3 linked regions of the Mus musculus genome follow. The protein of the gene in region 1 interacts with the protein of each later gene in a pairwise test. Links are inferred from orthologs where the notes say so. Each region holds a gene or a part of one and is shown in the gene's direction. Other genes may lie near its edges.

Evidence for each region.
Region 2: the proteins of Cdc42ep2 (region 1) and Arhgap26 interact in binary tests that used the Homo sapiens proteins (3 or more experiments, as listed by UniProt). The two-hybrid records come from large-scale screens. The link is inferred for Mus musculus from reciprocal best matches to the Homo sapiens genes CDC42EP2 and ARHGAP26.
Region 3: the proteins of Cdc42ep2 (region 1) and Cass4 interact in binary tests that used the Homo sapiens proteins (3 or more experiments, as listed by UniProt). The link is inferred for Mus musculus from reciprocal best matches to the Homo sapiens genes CDC42EP2 and CASS4.

The regions. Positions count from the first base shown.
Region 1 is NC_000085.6:5,916,517-5,919,645, reverse strand, and holds the end of Cdc42ep2 (cdc42 effector protein 2), read left to right. Parts: intron 1-652; 5' UTR 653-970; coding exon 971-1,615; 3' UTR 1,616-2,090; downstream 2,091-3,129. UniProt on the Homo sapiens protein: Probably involved in the organization of the actin cytoskeleton. May act downstream of CDC42 to induce actin filament assembly leading to cell shape changes. Induces pseudopodia formation in fibroblasts in a CDC42-dependent manner.
Region 2 is NC_000084.6:38,991,202-38,996,149, forward strand, and holds the start of Arhgap26 (rho GTPase-activating protein 26), read left to right. Parts: upstream 1-1,951; 5' UTR 1,952-2,274; coding exon 2,275-2,428; intron 2,429-4,948. UniProt on the Homo sapiens protein: GTPase-activating protein for RHOA and CDC42. Facilitates mitochondrial quality control by promoting Parkin-mediated recruitment of autophagosomes to damaged mitochondria.
Region 3 is NC_000068.7:172,413,664-172,417,911, forward strand, and holds part of Cass4 (cas scaffolding protein family member 4), read left to right. Parts: intron 1-2,456; coding exon 2,457-2,879; intron 2,880-4,248. UniProt on the Homo sapiens protein: Docking protein that plays a role in tyrosine kinase-based signaling related to cell adhesion and cell spreading. Regulates PTK2/FAK1 activity, focal adhesion integrity, and cell spreading.

The DNA.
Region 1 (3,129 bases):
ATCCGCCTGCCTCTGCCTCCCGAGTGCTGGGATTAAAGGCGTGCGCCACCACCGCCCGGTTGGGACTTGACTTTTTAAAGTTATTTTTATTATTATTGTGCGTTTGTGAGTGTGGGCACATGTCGCAGCCTGCATGAGGAGGTCCGAGAAGGACTCCTGGGCCGCAGTTCTCTCCTACTGTGGTTCTGCAGCTCAGACTCTGGTCTCCAGGCTTTACCAGCAGGTGCTCTCACCCACCGAGCCGTCTCACCTGCCCCTGCCCCACTCACTGAGTTCTCCATCCCTTCATCCTTCTATACCTGTGGCTTCACAGCCAGAAGTTGGTATGTAGTCAAGGATGGCCTGGTACTCTTATCTCCTTGCCTCTACCTTGCGAGTGCTGAGAATACTGGCTTGTGCCACCGTGCATGCATTTATGTAATGCTGGGGCTAAGCTTGGGCTTCGTGCACATTAGGCAATCACTGTAACTGAGGTTACACCCCAGCTCTTCTTGTTGTGTATTGTTTTGAGGCAGGGTCTCATGTAGCCTAGGCTAGCCTTGAAGTCCTGATCTTCCTGTCTGTGCCTCCTGAGTGCGGGGATTATTGGTATCACCTCACTTCAACTTGCTTTGTCTGTTGTGTTCCTGATTTATGGGTTCCTTCATTTCAGCTTCTCAACTCTGGACTAAGAATCTTGGAACAAGAGCAAACCCCACTGCTGTTGAGGAGACCTCACCTTTCTGCCTCCAGCTCTCCAAAGGGACTTGCATCCATCTAGAAGAGAGGAGGGTGTATTCACCACCCTGTCTTTGTTGGCCTTTAATCTAACTTTACCTGACACCTTGGGCCAACTTTGATCACATCTCACCCTCTACTTTTGTTTTGTTTTTGGCAAGAGTGGACATTGGCCCTCTGGAGCCTGTTTTGGGCAGAGGGTGTTGAGAGAGTACTGAGGACTGAGCGGCCAGGACTGTGTGCTGAAGTCACCATGTCCACCAAGGTCCCCATCTATTTGAAACGTGGCAGCCGCAAAGGCAAGAAAGAGAAGCTTCGGGACCTGCTGTCCTCAGACATGATCAGCCCACCACTTGGGGACTTCCGTCACACTATTCACATTGGCAGCGGTGGCGGAGATGACATGTTTGGGGACATCTCCTTCCTGCAGGGCAAGTTCCATCTCCTTCCAGGAACAGCGGTGGAAGAGGCTGAGGAGGATGGCAGCTTTGACCTTCCCTTCCAGTTTACTCGCACTACAACCGTGTGTGGGCGAGAGCTCCCTGATGGGCTGTCACCTCTGCTCAAAAACGCCATCTCCCTCCCTGTAATTGGTGGCCCCCAGGCCCTCACTCTGCCTACAGCCCAGGCTCCACCTAAGCCTCCTCGCTTGCACCTTGAATCTCCACAGCCTTCTCCACAGCCTTCCCCACAGGGGGCAGGAAATGTGGACGTCTGGAGGATTCCAGAGGCTGGCTCGCCCCACAATGGGATGAGCCCTGAGCCGGAGGCCGAGGAGCCCTTCCTGTCCCATGCCAGCTCCCTGCTGTCCCTGCATGTGGACCTGGGGCCTTCGATCCTGGATGATGTCCTCCAGATTATGGATCACGACCTAGGCCGCGTGCAGATTCCTACATAAAACCCTCGGCTGGCCAGGCAGGTCGCCCAGGCTGTGCTGATGCCTGGAGACATCTATGGGCATTGGCCCTGACCTAGGAGTCAGGATCCCAGGTCACACCTATGGGTGCTGGCTAGTGACTGCCATTTTGAGCCTTTGTTTTCCCTTCTCCTAATGGACAGAGTGTATCTTTGTTTTCATCTAACAACATCCACAGAGGAGCCATGCAGAAGTTGCCTTAGAGACTCCTGAATCTCTTTGGTCATTTGCCCTCACTGCCAATTGCCCCCTTTCCCTCGGGTCCCTGTGGGGAAGACTCTGCTAAAATGGAGCCCCTCCTTTGTTGGTATCGTTGGCTATGCTCCCCACTGGTCTTTGTGTTTGGGTCTGGGAGTCCAGAAATCGTGACATCTCCCGCCTTGTGTCCTGTCCCAACCCTTCCTCACATGACCAGGGAATTCTGGTCGCAATAAAACATGTTGCTGCTGGTGGCTGAGCATCCTGTCCCCTTGTCCCAGGGGTATCCCTCTGAAGGTCGGCCAGTCTCCATGAACAGTGGGCTCATGTGGGAAAAGCCCACCCTAGAAGGTTCCGCAGAGGTTGTGCCTTCCCTCCTGGATGTGGTACTTCAGTCTGCACCCACAGTGAGAAGGACATAGAATAATCTGCACTGGTTACGTTGGAGCTGTGACAATACCTGATGAAAACAGCTTCAGGAACAGCTTTATCCTGGTGCCTGGGTGCAGCCCAGTCCACTAGGCTGAGGAGTCACGGGAGCAGGGGCTTGAGGCAGCCACAGTCAGGAAGCCAAAAGTGATATCTGTGGGTGTTTCCATTACTTTCTTTTATTTAGTCTGGGACTTCAGCCCGTGGGATGGTACAGCCCACAGTCAGGTGGTCTTTCCACCGCCATTAACTACATTTAGAAAGTCCTTCACAGACACCTTCAGAATCTCCACAGTGAGTCTGATCTCATTAAGTTGACCACCAAGACTACCATCCAAACCAAGTATCAGGGGTGGAGATTGGCCATTGATTTAGGTGTCTGGCAGGTAGGGGCTGGCAGGAGCTGGAGAGATGGCCCACTGGATACGAATGCTGGCTGTTCTTACAAAGGGGCTGGGCTCAGCTTATGTGGTGCTGCGCATTGAACTCACAACTTCTTCTTTTTTTTTTTTTTTTTTTTTGGTTTTTCGAGACAGGGTTTCTGTGTGTAGCCCTGGCTGTCCTGGAACTCACTTTGTAGACCAGGTTGGCCTCGAACTCAGAAATCCGCCTGCCTCTGCCTCCCAAGTGCTGGGATTAAAGGTGTGTGCCACCACGCCCGGCATGAACTCAGAACTTCTTGTATGCTAGGTTGGCTCTCTACCAACTGAACTACATGTTTGCCCTTCAATTAATGCTATACCATAGTTTTTATATTGCAAAAGATTGAGATGAGCTGATAAGGGAATGGCCACATGAATGGGCAGAAATTCTGTATTTGTGATAAGACTTTTGTGTTTTCTGACAAAAAGCGAGATGCAGTATCCTAT
Region 2 (4,948 bases), on another chromosome or scaffold:
GCACAATATTGCCTCTTCACGTCATTCTCCTAACTAGTGGTAAAGTTGAGTCCCCCTCCATTTGCATTGGAGTGAACTTGTGACTAACTTGCTAGCAGCCAACAAAGGTAGAAGCGTGACATAAACGGTTAGGTCATGGAAAGTGATGGCTTCTCCTTGTTGGCTACATGTTCTGAGGAAATTAGGCTACAGAGAGTCACATGGAGAAGCCTCCAGTCTTTCTGAGGAGACAGATGGATCCAGCTGAGAACTCACCGCTCCAGTATCTGCCACCAATGCTGATCACAGTAGGGACCCACACAATAGGCTACATCCCTGCTTCTCTCCTAACCCCAAGTCTTCACATAGGTAGTCAATGTCTTATAGCACGAAAGCTTTGTGTGATCCATTAAGTAACAATAGATAATCAGAGTGCCTACCTTTAGTTACTCAAGATAAGCCTAATAAACAGATTTACGTTCATGGAATTTCCATTCCAGATTTTTTTTTCTTCTCCATAGCAAGGGCGGGAATGACTGTTTCCAGGATTTAATTAGCTATCATCTATCTGCTGTCTCTGCCTGCTCCCAAGCCTGGCTTTGTAGATACAAATTAAGAAATCGACCACATTCATTCATTCGATAAGTACATCAATTAATTTCCCATGCAAGGACTCCTTTTTCTGACACTTTGGAGTCTGAAACTCGTTTTCATTGTTCCCAAGGATCCTTCCATCAGACAGCAAAGCTATTCCTTGGTTGATGCTCCTCTCCAGAACAGAAGCAGTCAAGTTTCAAGGTCTTTCTGGGTTTGTGGTTCCATCCCGAGTCTAGTGCTGTGTTTATAATAGCAGACCAATTGAAAACACAAAGAAGCACCTTCCCCATGTCCTCCACCCCCAAAGGTGTGTTGTTAATTAGTATAGAAATAATTTAGCCAAGGGCAGTCTCTGTTCTCTAGGAGTTCATCATTCAGTTCTAGACACTGGGAACCAACCTACCAAATGCTCTGAGGGAGCGGTTAACCTTGACTCCTGTGATTGATCAGAGGGATGATGGTCACTCTGGAAGTCGGAGAATGATGCATAGTTTTCTACACACATGTTAGACAGCGCATATTATCTGTTCTTAAACACTAGTCGCTGTTCTAGTGGATAGGATTGCAACACCCCACCAGAGAACTGCGGAGGCACGTGCCCTCGTGGAGCTGGGCAGCAGCGAAGAGTAGCAGACATTGGACAGAATTGTGTAAAAACGGTGTTAAGAATCCAGTAGGAAAGGCTGAATTCTTGCTAAGGACGTGAGAACCTTCTGTGGGTTGCAGCCGTGGGCGGGTTTTGAGCAGGAGTGGCCACTAGTGGGACGGACAGTAGGGGGGGAGAGGACTGCAGGGAAGGGGAGTTAGTGATTTCAAAGAAGCAAATACGTTCTGCTTGACTGGAAGCAAGGGATTGCGAGCTCCGAGCGCTCAGTGTTCTTCTGGGCAAGGGGCTGTATTTTGAGTGCAAGCTCAAAGGCTCAGAGGTGTCCGGTGGGCTGCGGCGAAAGGCAGTTCTCATTCTGGATTTTTTCTGCTCCGCACACCTAGGCTCTTCGGTTCCCTAGATCAGCAGACGTCTCATTTCAGGCTCGGATTAGAGTCACACGAGGCGGGCCGGGTTCAGGGTGGCAGGGGGGCGCACCCACTACAGAATGCAGCACCAGGCTCTCTCTCCTAGCTCTGCAACCTTCGCTGAGCAGGAGGGGGCGGGGCTTGCTCTGCGGACCCAGGGGGTGGCACGGACTCCGCCCCTCTCCCCAGGCTCCGCCTTCAGAAATATCTGATTGGGTTAGAGTCGCGGAAGGGCAGGGCGTCCCCTGGCGGCCCCGTGGGTCGGGCCGAGGCAAGCTTATTGATTGGCCCTGCAGGGGATTAGGTCATCGCTAGCAGGTTCGGGCGGCCCGGACGCCGGAGGGGCGGCTGAGGCTTCTGTGAGAGGGCGCTCGAGGCTGCTTGAGGCTGCTGAGGAGCAAGCCCGCAGAGGAGGCGGGGAGGCGGTGGCCCGGCTGGTTCGCTTCCAGGCTCCGCCAAGGGTCCGCCGCCGCGCTTTCTGCCGGTGTGCAGTTCGGTGGCTCTCCGCAGGAGCAGCCGCCGTCCGTCCGGGTCCCCGCTGCGGTCCTGAGTCTCCTGCTCCCGCTGACCCCGCGCGCGGGGTAGCCGGCGCCACCCACACCTGTGGATCGGCCGTCGTCGCGGGTGTCCGCCGACCAGCGTGCGAGGCGCGTCCCCTCAGCCCGGCTGGCTCCGCGGGCAGAAATGGGGCTCCCGGCGCTCGAGTTCAGCGACTGCTGCCTCGACAGCCCTCACTTCCGAGAGACGCTCAAGTCACACGAAGCGGAGCTGGACAAGACCAACAAATTCATCAAGGAGCTCATCAAGGACGGGAAGTCGCTCATCAGCGCGCTCAAGAGTGAGTGTCCGGAGCAGCGCAGGAGGGCACCCGGCGGCGGCGCTCCGCTCCCGGTCGCCCGCGCGCTACCGGCTTTCATCCCTCCTCGGGCGCAGAGTGACCGGTGTCTATGCTCCTGCGAGGCAAGAAGGATATGTAAAAAGAGCGAGTCAGTTGCCTCGTAGGAATCTGGTCGCTCAGCCCTCGGCATTCGGGGACGGCCGGAAGGTGGCCATCAGGGTGGTACTCTGGATTGGGTGGGTGTGTGCGACACAGGTGTTTCTGGAGTGAGCCTGCCGCAGCCTGTTGGGGAAAACCACTTCCACGCTTCCCATGGCTTGGTATCCTTAAGGGGGGCGAGTTGCTCACCTCGGTGCCCAGCCTTGGGAATGGAGCGTGCGGAGGGGGCGCTGCCCATCCCTGGGAAGAGGAGGGTGGTGACTGCTTCGAGCCCTGCAGGAGCCCTGCACGCAGCTCTCGCCTAGTCCTGACTACCGGGTTCTCTGCGTTGGGGTGATTGGTTAGCTGCATTCCTGGGAGCACTGACATTAATCCCTAGACATAGATCAGTGCGGTGTACGTGTGCAGGTTTTGATTCTTGTGCTTAGCAGAAGGTGACAGGGGTGGGAGTATAGGACCAGAGTGTTCCTTTACTCTAAACTGTAGGCGAAGGTTTAAAAATAGACCGAACACATCCGTCTTTCTCCGTCTCCCGCTCCCTTGCTCCATACCCGTCCTCTCCCTCACATCTTTTAAAATTCAAAAGGCTGAGAGGGAATCCTCAGCCCTTGCTCAGAAAAAGAGAAGTTTTAAGCTCATTTAAAAGGTTCCCTGAGCTGCTGTGGAGCCATTTTTTGCTGCCCTGCCCCCTTCTCGGTACAAGGTGTATGTGTGTGTTAAAATGTGCATGCCGCCTAACTTTTGAAGAGGAAGCCCAGAGTTTTCCCTTGTGGCCAAATTAGAACATTCTAAGATTGAGCACCTTGCAGGGCAAGAAGGGTACCTTTTTTCATTGGGTTCATTTAAAAATAGTTCAAGCCATTTTTTTTTTCCATTTTGATACTCAGGAAGGGAAGGCAGATAGTGGAATTGTCTTTGACTCTTTACTCTTCCTGTCTCTGTGATGGGTTTCCTAATAGATGGTATCATTCAGCTAAGAATGGTTGCTTCAACAGAGTAGGATTCTAGCTGTTTGAATGGTCCCCAGGCTTCATTCGAGAAAGACCTAAGTGCCAAGATGTCGCTTAGTAAGCCTGTTGCTTTTAAAACTGAAGAGTGAGGGGATGGAATGTCAGGGCAGCAAGTGCCAGTCTTTCCTGGGTGAAATAAAAGCTCAGGGCAGCTATCAGAAGGCTTTCCAGGGCCAAAGATCAGGGCCTGCCTTGTTTCAGGGGACAAGTTACCTCTAGTTTGAGGAAAGTTTGGAACCCACATAGAAGCTGGGTCTGGAAATTTTGGTTGACCCTTATGCTTGCTTGATTGGTTTCTTCTCTCTCTCTTCCTCTCCTTCTGCTCTCCCTTCCTCTCTCCTTTCCCTCTCCCACCCCTTTCCCCTCTCTCCACCTCCTCTTCATTGAAACAGGGTTTCCCTATGCTTGCCTGGAGCAGTGCCCTTCCTGCCTCAGCCTCCTAAGAGTGCTATGATTGAAGGCATGCACCATCCGGGCATGGCTGACCCCAGGCTAGCCTTAATTGATCTTCTGCCTCACTCAGCAAACATATGAAGTGCCTGCACTTCCTGGGCATTGCACTAGATGCTAGGATGTAGCAATGACATTTGGCTGCCCCTGTGGGTGTGGAGGCACAGTACTCTGTGGCAGGCATGGCATTATTTGTGTGTTAACCTCACACTTGGGGAATCACTAGCCCAGAGTCCCATAGCTTCATCCACTGGCCTGTGGTTGTGGATTTTGCGTGGTCCCTTTGTGCCCAGAATGGAGCCTATAGGACCAAACCTACTAGAATTTGGACTTGCATTTTTGTATCTGAGCATTGAATCTGAGGAAGGCATTTTGGGTGACTGGCAATTTGCCTTCCACTATTTTTGAGGAGCATGAATTCTTTAGATGGGAAGACTCATTGCAATATTGGGGTTCAAAGGTTAACCAGACAGGTGGGTCAGCTCTGAGACTGTGGAAAGACTGATAGTGGCATAAATATGCCTGTCTTTCCACTTTATGACGAACTACCCCCCACCCCACTACTTGTAACTTCTGCTTTAACAGAACATGTGATCGACGTGACTTCTTACCACTTGTTTTCAGTGTTTGTACTGTGTTATTGTGAAGTGCTTGCTGCATTGCACATCATATTAATTCCTCTATAGTAATTTTCTTCAATCAGACCATCTTGATCACTACTGCTAATGAAAAGCCAGTGATTGTCCACTGTAGCTTACAAATAAATACATAGCTATATAGGAGTATATGTAGGTATGTAGTATATGCATTTGTGTTGTAGCTAGTACTTTTACAGGTCTCTGGGTTCAGATTTCCTTTATCTGTGAGTCAGAGGTGATAAAAAAGGCCTTCAGCAGTTGGC
Region 3 (4,248 bases), on another chromosome or scaffold:
GAGGGAGGAGGGTGTGAACCCTGCTCTCGTGGGAGACAGTCAGAGGGATGGTTGTCCTCTGTGAGTTAGAGACAGACATGGGAAGATCCTAAACAGGCTAGAAGAACCAGTTTGGTTTGCAGGGTGGCATCAAAGAACACTTTTTCTCAGGAAGTGGCATTCATGAAGAGTCTAGAAGCGTGGAATTTCAATGGGTGAAAAGCTGCTGGTGTGTTTGGGGGTGGAGGGGAGAGCGTGGGCAGGACCGAAATCCTCAGCCAGAGAGACCATGGAAGGCTGGTGGGGAAGTATGGGAGATAGAAAACCACAGAGGGCCTGGAAGCTTCTGGACCCCAAGAGTGCCTAGGCACTGAAGGATGGTTGGGGGCGGGGAGGGGGCAGGGTCAGTGCCACGTGACAGCAGCATTAGGTAAATGTTTGCTGACCATCTGGAGGAAGATGTGTTAACATATGGAAAGGGTAGTCGGAGCTGCAGGAGTGCCAGTTCTCAATAGGAAAGTCCCTGTGTTTGTGGTTCACCATGGGGGCCAGGGGAAATCTCTGCAGCCATGCTGTGACTCTGCAGGACTCATCACCTGTCTGGACCAATAAACTCTTCCAGACAGGTAGGGTGGGCAGGGAGGTGACCCACTTCCCAAGATGAATAGAAGCCACCCACCCACTCACAGGGCAGTTTGGACAGTCTAAGTATTTCCAAGAATAGGTTAAGAGGGAACAAAACACCCATAGAAGGAGTTACAGAGACAAAGTTTGGAGCTGAGACGAAAGGATGGACCATCTAGAGACTGCCACACCCCGGGATCCATCCCATAATCAGCTTCCAAACGCTAACACCATTGCATACGCCAGCAAGATTTTGCTGAAAGAACCCTGATATAGCTGTCTCTTGGGAGGCTATGCTGGTGCCTGGCAAACACAGAAGTGGATGCTCACAGTCAGCTATTGGATGGAACACAGGGCCCCCAATGGAGGAGCTAGAGAAAGTATCCAAGGAGCTGAAGGGGTCTGCAACCCTATAGGTGGAACAACAATATGAACTAACCAGTACCTCCAGAGCTCGTATCTCTAGCTGCATATGTAGCAGAAGATGGCCTAGTCGGCCATCATTGGGAGGAGAGGCCCCTTGGTCTTGCAAACTTTATCTGCCTCAGTACAGGGGAATGCCAGGGCCAAGAAGTGGGAGTGGGTGGATAGGGGAGTGTGGGGGGGATATGGGGACTTTTGGGATAGCATTTGAAATCTAAATGAAGAAAATACCTAATTAAAAAAAAAAAAGATGCTTCAAAAGGGAACAGATATGACTCAGCAACTAGGTGGGCCGGCTGCTCTTTCAGAGGACCTGAATTTGGTTCCTAGCACCCATTGGACAGCTAACACCTGTCCCTGCCTCTTGGATGACCCTTAGACACTTCACACACACACACACACGCACACACACACACACACACACACACACGCACGCATGCGCGTGCAAAATGTTTTTGTAAAGCTAAAATTTAAAGTATTTTTGGCAAACACACTAAAAAAGCATGTCCCAGACATGCTCTTCAGGGAAGGGACAGTGAAGACGGATGCAAACTTTGTCACGGTGCTGTCACCTTGTCCCCTCCCACAGCAGTACTCAGTATGTGCCTACCACAGGCGAGGCACACACTCTACCACTTATTGCTATTTTTTAGACAGGGCTCACTAAGTGGTCCAGACAGATCTTGAACTCTCAATCCTCCTGCCTCAGCTTTCCGAGTGCTAGAACTGCAGGTGTGAGCCACTAGCTAAGAGACATCCCTTAAGCTTCTCCTGTATGCCCGTGCCCGAGGCAGATGCTAGAGACAGAGTAATAGATAAACAAAATGTATTTATTTCATGTGCGTGTATATAATACATGTGTTTGCAAAGCACATTAATAATAAATAATAAATAGGTAATTTAATAATAGGTAATTCTAGTAATAATAGGTAACACTACTCTTCTCATTTCATCCATAAGGAAATGGGCTCAGACAGGGTAGATAATGTACTCAAGGGTACACAGCTAAGAATTTCAATCTAAAGGTGGTATACACAGGACACAGCATGTGACATCATGCAGCAGGCAAGCACGAAACTCCAAGGAGCATAGCCCCTTTAATAAACAGGACTTTGGCTGAAATGTGTGTCATAAAACACACCTGCGTGTAACCACGAGGGTCATACTGTCTGAGAATTTAAGAAAGGGCTTATTAGGGCCACTCAGCTTGGGTTTGGGGTTGCAGGCAAAGCACCCCAGAGGATGTGGCATCACCAGAAACCCTGAGGATGGGAAGTCTCAGCCAGGAAAAGAGCAGGGTCAGAGCCTCTGGGGAGGGTGAGAACACAGCTTGGAGACTTGTGCTGCAGTTTCTTGGTGGCCTGGTGCAGCCATGGGCAATAATAGGACAGCCTCGGCCAAGGACTCTAACAGCGCGTTCTCTCCTCCAGACCCTGTTGGCCAGGGCACTCTACGACAACCATGCTGATTGCTCCGACGAGCTTGCTTTCTCCAGAGGGGACATCCTGACCATCGTGGAACAAAATGTGCCAGAAAGCGAGGGCTGGTGGAGGTGTCTGCTCCACGGGAGGCAAGGCCTGGCTCCAGCCAACCGCCTCCAAGTCCTCAGAGAGACCCCTGCAGACAGACCCTGTCCCCTGCTCCCGAGAGGCCCAGACACAGATCTCACCAGCTCCGGGGCGCCTTACCAGGTGCAGGACTTGATCTCCCCGCCACCCCAGGGACCTGTGTATGAACCAATGAGGAGCTGGGTGGAGGGGCCGTCACCAGCGACTGCCCAAGTCTACGAATTGCCTGAGTCACCTTCCAGTGCCAGGATCATCTGTGAAAAGACGCTGAGCTTCCCCAAGCAGGTGAGTGTTGTCTCCGGATGAAAGCATGGGTAAAGGGTACTGGGATACCCAGGGGCTTCACTACACTGCAGTCATCACCATTGCATCAGATTAAATGTGCAAAGCAGGACCTCAGAGCCCTACTGAGCATGCCCAAGACCCAGCCCCACTTCATGCACACGCTTAGCATCCCCGTGACTGCCCGGCTCACCAAGACTGACCAACCTGTGCCATCAGTTGAAGGTGTGTGCAGGAGTTTGTTGGCTATTCACAGGACCCCACGTCACAGAGAGCGCTGGAGACAAGGGGAACAAGGGATGGCTTAATTCACACCATGTTAAGGCCAGGGCATCACTCATAACGTTCAAGACTCGCATCTGCCTCCCCCAGACAATTAACTTCTAGAATTGTTACAGAAACATGCAAGAGGGTCAAATAGAGATCAGAAGGGGGTTGGAAGTGACCACATTGGTGCTAGGGAAAACCCACAGGTCCCCAAGTGTTTGCAGGGGAGAGTGTTGGGTACAGACATTTTGAAAGATTTTTTTTTCCCCTCCATTTACTTATTTGGGACCTGAGCATGCCTGGGTCACTGCACATTTGCGCAAACCGGAAGACACTCTCAGGTGTTGGTTCTCTCCTTCCTTCATGCGCAGGTCCCAGGGACAGGCAGGGTGGCATGTGCTTTTCTCTGCTGATTCATTCCTACCCCAACCCCCAAACTTTGTCCCAGAAAAATCATCTTTTGTCCCTGTCATCATGGTGAGCTTAATTCACACAGGGATAAGAAATGTTTCTATGTGGTTGTTCTAAAAAGGAAGACAGAATCCTTTAATGAAGGATTAAACCTTGGTGTGTGTGTGTGTGTGTGTGTGTGTGTATGTATGTTCTTGTATGCAGATGAACACATGGACTGGAAAGACCTAGAAGAACCCACACAGGTAGTTCTCCTCAGGAAGTAGAATTGAGTAAGGAGAAAATTAAATAAGAGAGTGGCTGGGCATGGTGGCGCGCGCCTTTAATCCCAGCACTCGGGAGGCAGAGGAAGGCAGATTTCTGAGTTTGAGGCCAGCCTGGTCTACAAAGTGAGTTCCAGGACAGCCAGGGCTACACAAAGAAACCCTGTCTCAGGAAAAAAAAAAAAAAAAAGGCAGTAACAGGGACCTTTCTTTCCTTTCTTTTATTCTGTCCATGTCCCCAGCACCTTGAGTGAGGCAGGTCCTCAATAAATATTTCACGAAAAAATAGATCAGGAAGATGCTGGGTGCCCTGGGGGACACGTGGACACCTGTGAATTTTACAAGCAGAGGGAAGCTGGAGCTTGAAAAATGTGTGGTCACATCGTTGGGGCCTTAAGGAAGGAATTTAAAGGCGAAAGGAACCACTCACC